Linked DNA regions of Ovis aries. The protein of the gene in region 2 interacts with the protein of the main gene of each other region in a pairwise test. Links are inferred from orthologs where the notes say so. Each region holds a gene or a part of one and is shown on either strand. Other genes may lie near its edges.

Region 1 (3,562 bases), on a different chromosome or scaffold from region 2:
GGAGGGCACCCCCACTGACACCAGGGATTTGGGCTTGCGGCCCCCAGAACTGTGAGGTTTAACTTCTGTTAAGTCGCCCAGCTTATGGTAATTTCTGACAGCAGCCACAGGAAACTAACGTCAGCCAGCCTCCTCCTGACCTCAGCTCAGTAACGTCCTCATCTGGACGAAGGACACGATGAATACGATGAATCCCCGCCGCCATCAAAGGGCCCCGGGGAGGAGGGTTACTCCACGCCCCCACCCCCACCCCCAAGTCCTGGGCACCAGGGCTCGGCCACCAGCAGCCCACCATGGGCAGAGGTAACATCACTGCGTTGTACACACAAACATGTGTTCCCAAGGGAGGGCCCGAAGCAGCTGTTCAAAGCACAACCCCGCGAATGGACTGTCACCGAATCACGGGCTTAAAAGTGGTGAAAATGGTAAATTCTGTGCGGGGGTGGGGAGGGAGGAAAATTACTTATCTGCTGTTATTGTGATCACCCCTCCCCAAATGAACGGTGATGTCGCTGGTTCAACGCCCACTTTACTTTAAGCAACAGAAAAATAAATCAGGGCCATGAAAGGCGGAGAGCATTTGGAGTCACAGAAGTAGGCCAGGGGCTGGGGGTACCCAGCGCGGGTCTGGCTGAGGGCCTGGAAATCACAAGGCGGTGGACTCGGAACTCCAGAAACGGTTTAGTCTCCAGATGAACCGGCACCGGTACACTGGAGTCTGGGGGCCTTACTCTCGCCCCCAAGGCTGTTTCTCTGGCTTCACTGCTCTGGGGGGCAGGGCACAGGGCCAGGTCCTTGCAGGAGGAGAGAGGGTGGACGCCTGCCCACCTCAGCCCCAAGTCAGTGGGACTTGAGCCTGGGGTTCTGGAAAGCTGACAGGGTGATGAGCATCTGGGCGGAGTAGTAGGTGGTCATGACCAGCAGGTGGCCATGGGGCACACGGTGGGTGAAGGTGTTCCAGGCCAGCACGGTGTCCGAAAGCACGAACAGCAGGGCGCCCCAGTGGGCACTCCCGCCCCGGGCCAGGCCCCGCCACAGCATGGCGACCAGGACTATGGAGTAAGCCAGCAGGGGCCAGACCATGTGGGGCGGGACGTGAGGATGCAGGAGCCCAAAGTAGAGGCTGGAAACCAGGAGGAGGGGCAGCAGGAGGCCAGGCTTCAGGGGCGTGAGGCCGAAGGCCCGGAGGTAGAACAGGTGGGCCAGGCCGAAGGCAGCCATGCCTGCAGGAGATACGGGGGGCGCCTGGTAAAGCGTGCTGCTCTCTGGCTTCACCCTGTCGCCCTCGCCCCGAGGGAGAGGGCGGACCCCCAGCGCCAGCTCCCACCCTGGCGGTACCGCCCCGTCTCCCAGGGTGGCCTACTCGGCCATCCCTTCTTCTGGCCATTGGCCCCCAAACCGCCTCAGGCGCGCACCGCGTTCCATGCAGCTCTGCTCCGAACCGCCCGCAGAGGGACACCCCAGCTTGCGGTGGCCCCAGTGGCTGCACGCACCCTGGCTCCTGCACCTGCCAGCCCTCTGCCTGCAGGGGCACCTGGCTGGTACTCACGCCCCATTTCAGGCGTTACCTTCCCGGTGAGGCTGGCCTCTGGCAGCGTGCTCGAAACCCTGCACGCTCACGCGGCCTCGGGAACACCGCCCGCACCCATGTGGGAGGCGCTCAGTGGGGGCGGGGGTCTGGGTGCGTCTCCTCACGGCCATGGGCTCCCCAGGGAGTTCTCTTGGGGAGTCATCCCCCCACCACGGCATCCCACCCTCCACCCGCTGGGGGGGCATCCAAGAGGGACAAGGCAACACATCCCGTCACCCGCTCTCACCGTACAGGAAGGCTTCAGGCCAGACGAGGCAGGCGTCCCCCACGGCCGAGCAAAGCAGGGCCCCTTGCAGGAGCGAGCGGTAGCCCCCGCAGGGGAACGCGGTCCCCAGAAACCCCGCCAGGTAGAGGATGGGTAGGATCTTGAGCAGGGCGCTGACCCAGGACGGCTGGTCCGTGGAGTTCTGGACGAGGAGGTAGACGGCACAGGCGAGGAAGAACGGGAGCAGCCCCAGGCCCACGCGCGGCTGTGGGTGCTTTGGAGGTAAGGAGGCCTCTGAGCAGCTGCAACGCAGCCCAACCCCCAGCTCCCGGGACCACTCCCCCTCTAGAGCGCCCCTGGCCCCTGGGCGCTAGGCCCAGCCCTGCCCGGGGACCCCAGCCATGCTGCCCAGGGCAGCGGGCAGACGCACAGGCACCAGGACGTCCAGGCTCACAGAACCTGGCCCACCTCCGCCCCCGATTCTTGCAGGCCACTTGCGTCCCCAGGAGCCCAGGCCCGGTCCCCAACTCTGCGGCGCTCACTTGAGCTGAGAAGCGAGGTTTCCGGGGCAGCCCCTCCTTCCGGGCGTCCATGTCGGCCTGCAGCCCCCACAGTGGCCTGCATGTGGGCACTGCTGGCTTTGAGGGTGGTGGGGATGGCGTGTGGTTACACGTTAACTCAGGAGCGTCCTGTGGACTCTGGGGCTGATAAGAGGCTCAGGGAGATGCTGCCCCGCCCTGGGACAGTCCTGCTTGGCACCGCTGATAGCGCCCGCGCGACCCCAGGGTATCTCACCCTCCACGGCCCCTGCCTCCGGCTTCCTCCTTGCCTAGGGAGCCTGGCCGCCACGCCCCTCCCACCGGCTGCGCCTGGCGGCTCAGAGGGAAGGGGGCGCAGAACTCCAAGGGCCGCTCCTCTATGAGCGAGGGGGAAGGGCCGGCGGCGCTCCCACCCCTCGCGCCCCCCCCACCCCGCCTGGCCGTCCCTCAGGAGCCGGCCCCGCCCCGCCCCCCCCCCCTCCGGGAAGGCCTGCCCAGCAGACAGCGGCACCGGGCAGTGTGCTAGCCCACAGGCGGCTCCAGGGACGGCTCCCCGCGTCCAGCCAGCCACAGCGCACAGCACAGCTGGTCTCCGCCAGAAGCCACGGCCCTGCGTGCCTGGTCTGGCTTGGTTGGCTGCCCCCAATCCTCCAACTCCCACTGCTTCACCAAAGGGAAAGGGCTCTGGGCATGCGGGTGACGGGGCTGAGAAGGGGCCGGCAGGAAGCCCACCACAACACCCGGAGCCTGGAGCCCGTGTTTGTGGACGGGGGGTGGGGTGCGGGGGTGGGGCCAGGGACCAATGAGCGCTCAGCGCCTCCTCCAGGAAACCCTTCCCAGCTGAGCAGAAGTTCCCACCACCAGGCAGCAAGGAGGCCAAGGACTCTAATTCGACGCTCTGAGGGTCCCACCCAGGAGGCCCTGGTGTGGGACCAGCTCAGGCTCCCCGACCCCATGTCCCCGAACTCGATGTCTGAGCAGCACGAGTCTTAAACTGTCCTCCTTTATTTGTTTACGTTTGCGATATGAAACAGAAGCTCAGCACGAACACACGCGCACACTCACGCCCGCCTGGGGAGAGGGGCTGGGACAAGGGCACTTGGCAGCTGGGCTGCACCCAGACCCTCGGGAGGAGGAGTGGGACCCCAGCCAGGTCTCCGCCCGGGCTCGGTGGGAGATGGAGGTCTCGGTGAGTGCGGCAGGGTCCTGGGGGCGATGTCCAGGGAA
Region 2 (3,648 bases):
AAAATAAAAGATTAACATTAGGTTTCTGGATTTCTATAAATTTATATGTATATTCTTTCCTTACTAACAGGGAGCTGATTTATAGACATGATTTCTATTTTTTCTTGTTAAAAATTACCGGGCAGGGAATTCTTTGGTCCACTGCTGCTAAGTTGCTTCAGTCGTATCCGACTCTGTACGACCCCATAGACGGCAGCCCATCAGGCTCCTCTGTCCCTGGGATTCTCCAGGCAAGAATACTGGAGTGGGTTGCCAATTCCTTCTCTAATGCATGCATGCATGCTAAGTTGCTTCAGTCGTGTCAGACTCTGTGCGACCCCACGGACAGCAGCTCACCAGGCTCCTCTGTCCACAGGATTCTCCAGCAAGAATACTGGAGTGGGTTGCCAGTTCCTTCTCTTCCTTGGTCCACTAGTTTGGACCAATACTTTCACTGCCAGCGGCAGTGGCCTAGATTTAGATTTGATCCCTAGTTGGAGAACTATGATCCTACAAGCAGTAACGGGAGGCAAATCAAATCAATCAAATCCCATCAATACGATCCATTCATAATCCGATCTAATCGATCTGAATTAATCCCATCAATAAATCAAGTAAATCCAGGCAATGCTACTGCACAATTAGTGTAACACAGTATGTTGCCAATATAACTTTCATATGCACTGAAAGCCAAAAAATTCATGTGACTTTTTATTAAGACATCTGCTCTACTGCAGTGGCCTGAAAGCAAACCCACAGTGTCTCTGAGGTATGCCTGTTTCCAATTCCAACCTACTCTAGCCCTCCTATCTCACCTGAGGGGGAGGGGAAAAAACTCAGAAACTGGCTCGAAGTTCACAGCCCAGAGGCAGAAGCTCACTGAAGACTGAGATCTAACCACAGGGTCCCAGAGAGCTTCCCCCCTCCCCACAGCCCACCACCACCTCACTAAACACTGATTTACAACAGTCCCTGTTATTCAGTCAAATCAAATCAATCCGATCCCATTCCATCAAATCAATCAAAATAAATCAAATCAAATAAGGAAATAAAATCTTATCAAATCAAATAAAACACGTGTGTGGATGACCCTTGAAAATGCTGTGCTAAGTGACAGAAGCCAGCCACAAGCCACGGCTCAGGGCGTGACTCCACTTACATGCAGACCCTCCCAGGAAGATGCAGGGAGACAGGAAGCAGATTAGCTGGGGGTGAGGATGGCTGGGGAGTGGGAGCAGACGGGAAGTCACTGTTAACTGTTATACAGTGTTTCTTCTGGGGATGTGAACAATGCTCTAACTTTAGACTGTGATGCTGGCTGTACAATTCTGTGAACATACCAACCACTGAACTGTGTACCTTTAAATGGATAAATTTTTCGTATATATCTCAATAAAGCTGCAAAAATTATTTATGGAAAGCAAAGCAAGATATAACCCAGGGCTGCTCTGGTGGTACAGTGGTTATTAAGAATCCGCCTGCAACGCAGGGGACATGGGTTCAATCCCTGGTCTGGGAAAATTCTGCAGCCACAGAGCAACTGGGCCCCTGCTCCACAGCTGTGAGCCTGCACGCCCTGGGGCTTGTGCTCGGTAATAAGAACACACCCCAGTGAAGAGCACGCCCTCTCACCATAACTAGAGACAGCCTGTGTGCAGCCACGAAGACCCAGCAGAGCCAAAAGCAAAATAAAAATAATTTTTTAAAAAGAAATAACCCACATGCTCCCCTCCATAAATAAGGGAAAGACTGAGTAAATCTTCGTTTGATATACGCATTTTTAAAGTTTACGATTCAATGTTAAGCACAAAGTCTGTAGCCACAGCATCACAGGCACACTGCTGCGACCGCCATCGACAATATATGCGTGAGCAGGAAGGCAGCACACTGGCAGCTCTCTCTCTAACGTTGTTAATATAAAGCAACAAATCACACTGAACGGAAAGTACCTTAACATGACTGATTAGTCCAATACTTAACACCAGAAAAGGGTCCATCTCATCTGCTGGGTATATTGTGGAAACTTATTAATATAAACAGATGCCCCAGGAAAGGAAAAGGTACCTTCTAGTTTCACCACTATAATCCTAGACCCAAGAAGTTATGTAATGCTGTGAACACTTGACTATAAAAAAACAAATGAAGCCACACCAAACAGAGCCACTAATTAACTAGGAAATAAGAATAAAGAGACCTTCAGAAATTTCTTTGTCCAGGGATTTGAGCTCTTCTTCAATTTCAGTTTTAACTTTTAATAAAACTTCTTGATCCAGAGATTGTGAAACTGTATCTTGCTGAACCCCTGAAAACAACAAGAAAGGTTACTATCGAAAGACAGAAACATTAGAACATGGATAGGATGTTTAAGCAATAAGTCAGAAAGTACAAAATCAAAACTCATTATCATGCCCAAGGGCTAGGAGAATCTTAAAAATGAGGAGGCTGAGGCCAGGCAGGTTGCACCGCTAGCCCACCCCTGGAGGAGCCGTGACTGGAGCTCAGGCCTCAGGCCAGCGTGGACAGAACCACCAATTCAATTCAGCCTGTGTCCTCGGCTTCCGGTTGGGCTGCTAGGAAGAAGTCTGCTCAGAAACATTGCTGACATAACAGAGAAGAAAACCTGAAAGGCTATCATGTTCCCTTACCTTCATATCTTCATGCAAACTGCATTCCAAGAGAAGGCCTATGATCAACAAAGCATGTGTATCTTCCAACTTAGGGAAACCAGGAGCATAACCCAGTGGGAGGCAAAAGCTACCCTCCTGCAGTAGAAGGCCAGGAAGGGCCTGCTCTGTAGCATGGAAAGGAGAACAAAGGGACAGCGAACCAAAATAAAACTCGGACCCTCAAGAGGGTTTTTGTCGTGGAAAATATAAAATTCCTTAGGTATTTCTACCACAAATGCAACAGAAAGGATCCCCTCATGGTCATGGTTAATATTTATCTGATTAAATGACATTTGATTTAACATTTCTGCCTATGTAAATAGCTGAAACTACATAAATAAAAATTTTAAAACATTACCTACAACAATATGCTACTAAGCAACCAATGGACCACTGAAGAAATCAAAATGGAAATCAAAAATACCTGGAGACAAATGGAAACACAACCACCCCAAATCCATGGATTAAAGATTTATAAGACCTGAAACCATAAAATTCTAGAAGAAAACAGGCAGTATGCACTTTGACATGGATCTCAGCATAATTTTTTTGGCTATGTCTCCTCAGGCAAGGGAACAAAAACAAAAATGAACAAACGGGGCTACATCAAACTAAAAAGCCTTTGCATAGTGAAGAAAACCATGTGCAAAGCATAAAGTCAGCCTAATGAATAGAAGATATTTGCGAACAATAATATCTGGCATATATAAAGAACACATACAGCTGGACATTAAAAAAACCCCAAAACAGAAAAGCCTCAATTTAAATTGGGCAGAGGACCTCAATAGGTATTTACAAAGAAGACACAAAGATGCCACCAGGCACACATTAGTGTTCAACATGACTAATTACCCGGAAAATGCAAATCAGAGCCACACTGAGATTATCACCTCGCACCTGTCAAAATGGCTATTACTAAAGAGGCAGTAAATAACAAAGACTGGCAAGGTAGCAGACTGTCGATGAAAACGGAGATGATACACGTGGCTGTGACTGATACAGT
Region 3 (3,748 bases), on a different chromosome or scaffold from region 2:
CAAAAGGCCCTTGAAGCTGAGCAGACCTTTCAATCTGCCTGGTTCTCCTCTGGCTCTGCCAGGCCGAGGTGAGGAGTGGGGTGGGGCAGGGTGCATATGGTCATTTTAGTCAGTGTCTCTAGGAAAAGTAAGTGAATGTGCTGGTTTTCATCTGCTTTCTTTTTAGCTCCTGGCACTCTTGCAGTCTTCTTGCCATCATGATGAGATTCAGTTAGTCTTCAAGCGTTTTGTAAAAACCTGGACCCCTGCTCTGCCTCCACACTTTTTGCCTGGGCTGCACTCACACTGTGAGCCAGCCAAAACTACACTGCTCAGCAAACAGCCACCTTTGGAGGGAAGCATCATAGTCTGGTTACCAGGGTAACAGCCACTGTTCTCAGACATCAGGCTTTGCAAGAGCCAATATTTTGCTGTTCAGTAATGGCATTGTGTTGCTAAGCAGAGAATAATCAGCTACTGCTCTTTGGCTCTTTTCCAGTTCCATTGTTATCCGAAGGACTCGTTTGGAACATCCCTCTCCCAAATCAGGAAAAGGTTTAATGAACTACCATGTCGCTTGTAAATCTTTTGTGTGAACACTACAGAATTCCCTGTTCCTCCTCATTTCCGATCCTACTTGATTCTTTGTGGTGGAGGTAGTGAGCTTCCTGTTCCTGGGGATGATGAAGAAGAAGCTGTAGGAACATTGGAGAAGGGAATTCTGCACTGAGAATTAGCTCAGACAGCTTCTAAAGTTCCTTCCAGTCCAATCCCAGATTCTATGATATAATTTGTCTAGTGCAAGAGTTAGACAGCAACACACTCCCTGTCAGAAGCAGTAGTAGTCCAGTACCTTGCTAGAGATGGTCTATACTTACAAAGTATTTGAAATATCAATACTTTGCTATTGCATAACTGAGAACATAATGGCTACTCCATCATGCGCACCTAGCCCAAGTATGGCTCACCCTCAGAATAAGAGATCCCATACACAGCTTCGGCTGTGCCCTCATCTGCAATAATCTTCCCTGGAGAAAATCATTCAGCCTCTGTAACAGGAAAATGTCCCTATGGTCACCTGATTTTTCCTGTCTTTTCCTCAGGGCTTTTACTCCCTGAGGAAGTAGTATTCAGCATCCTTCCTTACTCCCTCTCTGTTTTTCATTCACAACCTACCCAATCAGCTGCCCTGACTTCAGGTAAGGTTCTTGACATTACCTAGGACAGGAATTGAGTTCTTGCAATATTCACCTCTCATCTGGCCCCACTTGACTGGAAAATTCTTACCCAAGTGCACAAAGTACATGCAAAGAAAGCTCAGTCACTTCAGGAAGAATAAGAGACAGCCTGTACATGCATCATTGTATAATAATTAGTATTATTATTATTTACAACTGTTACAGAGTTTGCCCATTTTCAAAGGACTCCGACATATTATTTTTTATTTTTATAACTCTGAGATTAGACAAAGCAATTATCATTATCCCTATTTTCCAGATGATGAAGTAATAATTCATAGCAACCTACCCAATGTCACGAAGTTCATAAGTAGCAGATCTGGGATTCGCACCTCATTATGTTCACTTCTAGTCCAGTGCTCATGCCTTAATTATCCTGCCTGAATACACGCCTCAAGAGCTCTCTCAGTGTTTCAGGATGAAACAACCTAAAAACTGACACTAGCCTAATATAATTGAAAACCCATCTCTGTAGATGCTTTTGGAACCTTCTGGGTAATACATTTGATGGTGAATACACAGGACAGTTGATTCTCATTTCATTTAGGACACATTCAAGCTGTTGCTCTTGTTTTGGCAAATGTGAGCAATGTCTACATGGTTCTGTGGCCTCCTGTATGGACAAAAATCCTTGTGCTCTGTACATCTTGCACTGAGCGGACCCTACAAGAGACCAGACCATGTAGCTTCTCTCTACAGAGATGCCCTCAGGACTCAATCAAGTCAGCAAGAGCCCTAAGGTCCCTCCTTGTCATAGCAGGGATTTAAAATCTGAGTCATGCCCTCAGGAAAGCTTAGTCTGTAATATTTACTAGATATGGTAACCCAAATGGGTGCATGCGTGCACACACACACACACAGCCCTACCCATATCTCTTCCTTATGGTAAAGCCATTGAGGACTTTATTTTCATTTCCTGAACTTGACATCGGCCTCCTCAGCCATGACGAAGCCTGAATCTATGACGCCCAATTTCATTCTGATGCCCCACAGGGTCCAAATTTTGTTTCAAGCAAGCAGTCATTTTGTACAGCTGAGAGCCAGCCAGCATGAGTTGCCTCCAGCAGAACCAAGGATGTCAGCTGACCAGGCCATTACCAGGACATGGGGATCAGGGGAAAAGAGAAGGCAGAGGGAAGCAAGGGGGTAGGAGGACACATGACCACATCCAGCCCTGCAGACACTCTCTCCAACGACCTGTGGGACTCCCCATGTGTTGCTGGAGTTCTGTGGCAATAAAGCATCATTCTCAGTACAGCAGAGAAGGAGTTAATCGAATTGCGTGCTAAGGAATGAAAAAGAAAACAAGTGCCAGAACACAATTCATTTCAACCATTAGAAACTCTGAACCCCAAAGTTCTTGCAAATTCCTATGCTCTGGCTTTGAATCTTCCAATCTAAAGTTTTTGAAACTCACCCATGTCTTTGGGACTCTGACTCCAATGGTAGCCGGCTGGCTAGTCTGTTTGTTCAGCTGGAAGGATCCTGGTCTCTCCAGTCTCCTTCTTCGGTCCTTTACTTTTTCTCTCTGAGTATCTTTGTCCTCTTCTCCTGCAATGAAAAGGGCTTTCTGATTGACAGCCAACCCCCTTAAAGGGACAGGCCCACTTTCCTCCTCCTCTCCTCCTCCCCTTCTCCTCCCCTTGTCCCCACCTCCTCAGGATACTCCCTTCTCTAAGACCTCCATCTTCTCTTTCTGCTTTTCAGTGCCAATTGTCTCTTTTTCTTTTTTTCTTTTCCCCCCTCCCCTAAGGCTTGCCTATGTGGAATTTCGCTTTGCTGTAGAGACATCTGGAAATGTGGTTTGGGGGTGGAAATAAAAGAAAGAGGTCCTGCAATCCAACTGATCCTTGGGTCTATTTTGGTATGAGATGTGGCAGCATAAGTGTCGGAGGCCATAAAGGTGTTAGCCCTGGTGAGGCAGTCAGGGTCAAAAGCCTAGATGTGACCTCCTAGTCCTTCTAACTCTGCCCCAACACCACCCCTCACGCCTAGCTGCCCTTGACCCTACCCGCCTTTACCCTCCCCCCACCACTCTTTAGAAAATAATTGCTTCTCCCAACTCTTCCCATTCCAGTTTTAGAAACACAATAGAGAAAAAAATTGTCTTTTAAAAATAATTTCCTCCAAATCCTTCCTGGTTTCAACTGAATGAGGACAAAACACAAGCTGTTGATTCCTCGAACAGATTTTGACCAAGCTGGAGAAAGCTAGAATTGTAATCATTTTATAGACAGGGTAACGGAGACCCAGGGAGGGGGCAAGCAGACACGCTGTGCAGGTTCATGGAACAGGCTAAAAGAAAGGCGAGAGTTGGGGATGTGGGTGATCTCCATGGAAGGTAACTGACTTTGACAGAACACAATCTGGGAATTAGATAGTCACTACCCCACCCTCAGAAGAGAGTGTCATGAGAGAGCTGTATCCAGATGAGAGGCAAGGAGTGGGTTGTGGTAAAGCCATGGTTGTCAGTGAGGGTGGAGGGAAGGGGAAAGAATTATGGTCCTTGCCTCAGAGAAAGAAGCATGAAG

The links. The genes of interacting proteins can lie anywhere in the genome.
Region 1: the proteins of BCL2L13 (region 2) and TMEM86B interact in binary tests that used the Homo sapiens proteins (3 or more experiments, as listed by UniProt). The two-hybrid records come from large-scale screens. The link is inferred for Ovis aries from reciprocal best matches to the Homo sapiens genes BCL2L13 and TMEM86B.
Region 3: the proteins of BCL2L13 (region 2) and PLP1 interact in binary tests that used the Homo sapiens proteins (3 or more experiments, as listed by UniProt). The two-hybrid records come from large-scale screens. The link is inferred for Ovis aries from reciprocal best matches to the Homo sapiens genes BCL2L13 and PLP1.

The regions. Positions count from the first base shown.
Region 1 is NC_056067.1:63,010,417-63,013,978, reverse strand, and holds TMEM86B (lysoplasmalogenase TMEM86B), read right to left. Parts: upstream 2,412-3,562; 5' UTR 2,390-2,411; coding exon 2,339-2,389; intron 2,071-2,338; coding exon 1,818-2,070; intron 1,224-1,817; coding exon 841-1,223; 3' UTR 513-840; downstream 1-512. UniProt on the Homo sapiens protein: Catalyzes the hydrolysis of the vinyl ether bond of choline or ethanolamine lysoplasmalogens, forming fatty aldehyde and glycerophosphocholine or glycerophosphoethanolamine, respectively and is specific for the sn-2-deacylated (lyso) form of plasmalogen.
Region 2 is NC_056056.1:214,941,264-214,944,911, reverse strand, and holds part of BCL2L13 (bcl-2-like protein 13), read right to left. Parts: intron 2,282-3,648; coding exon 2,174-2,281; intron 1-2,173. UniProt on the Homo sapiens protein: May promote the activation of caspase-3 and apoptosis.
Region 3 is NC_056080.1:129,376,543-129,380,290, reverse strand, and holds the start of PLP1 (myelin proteolipid protein), read right to left. Parts: upstream 2,748-3,748; 5' UTR 2,639-2,747; coding exon 2,635-2,638; intron 1-2,634.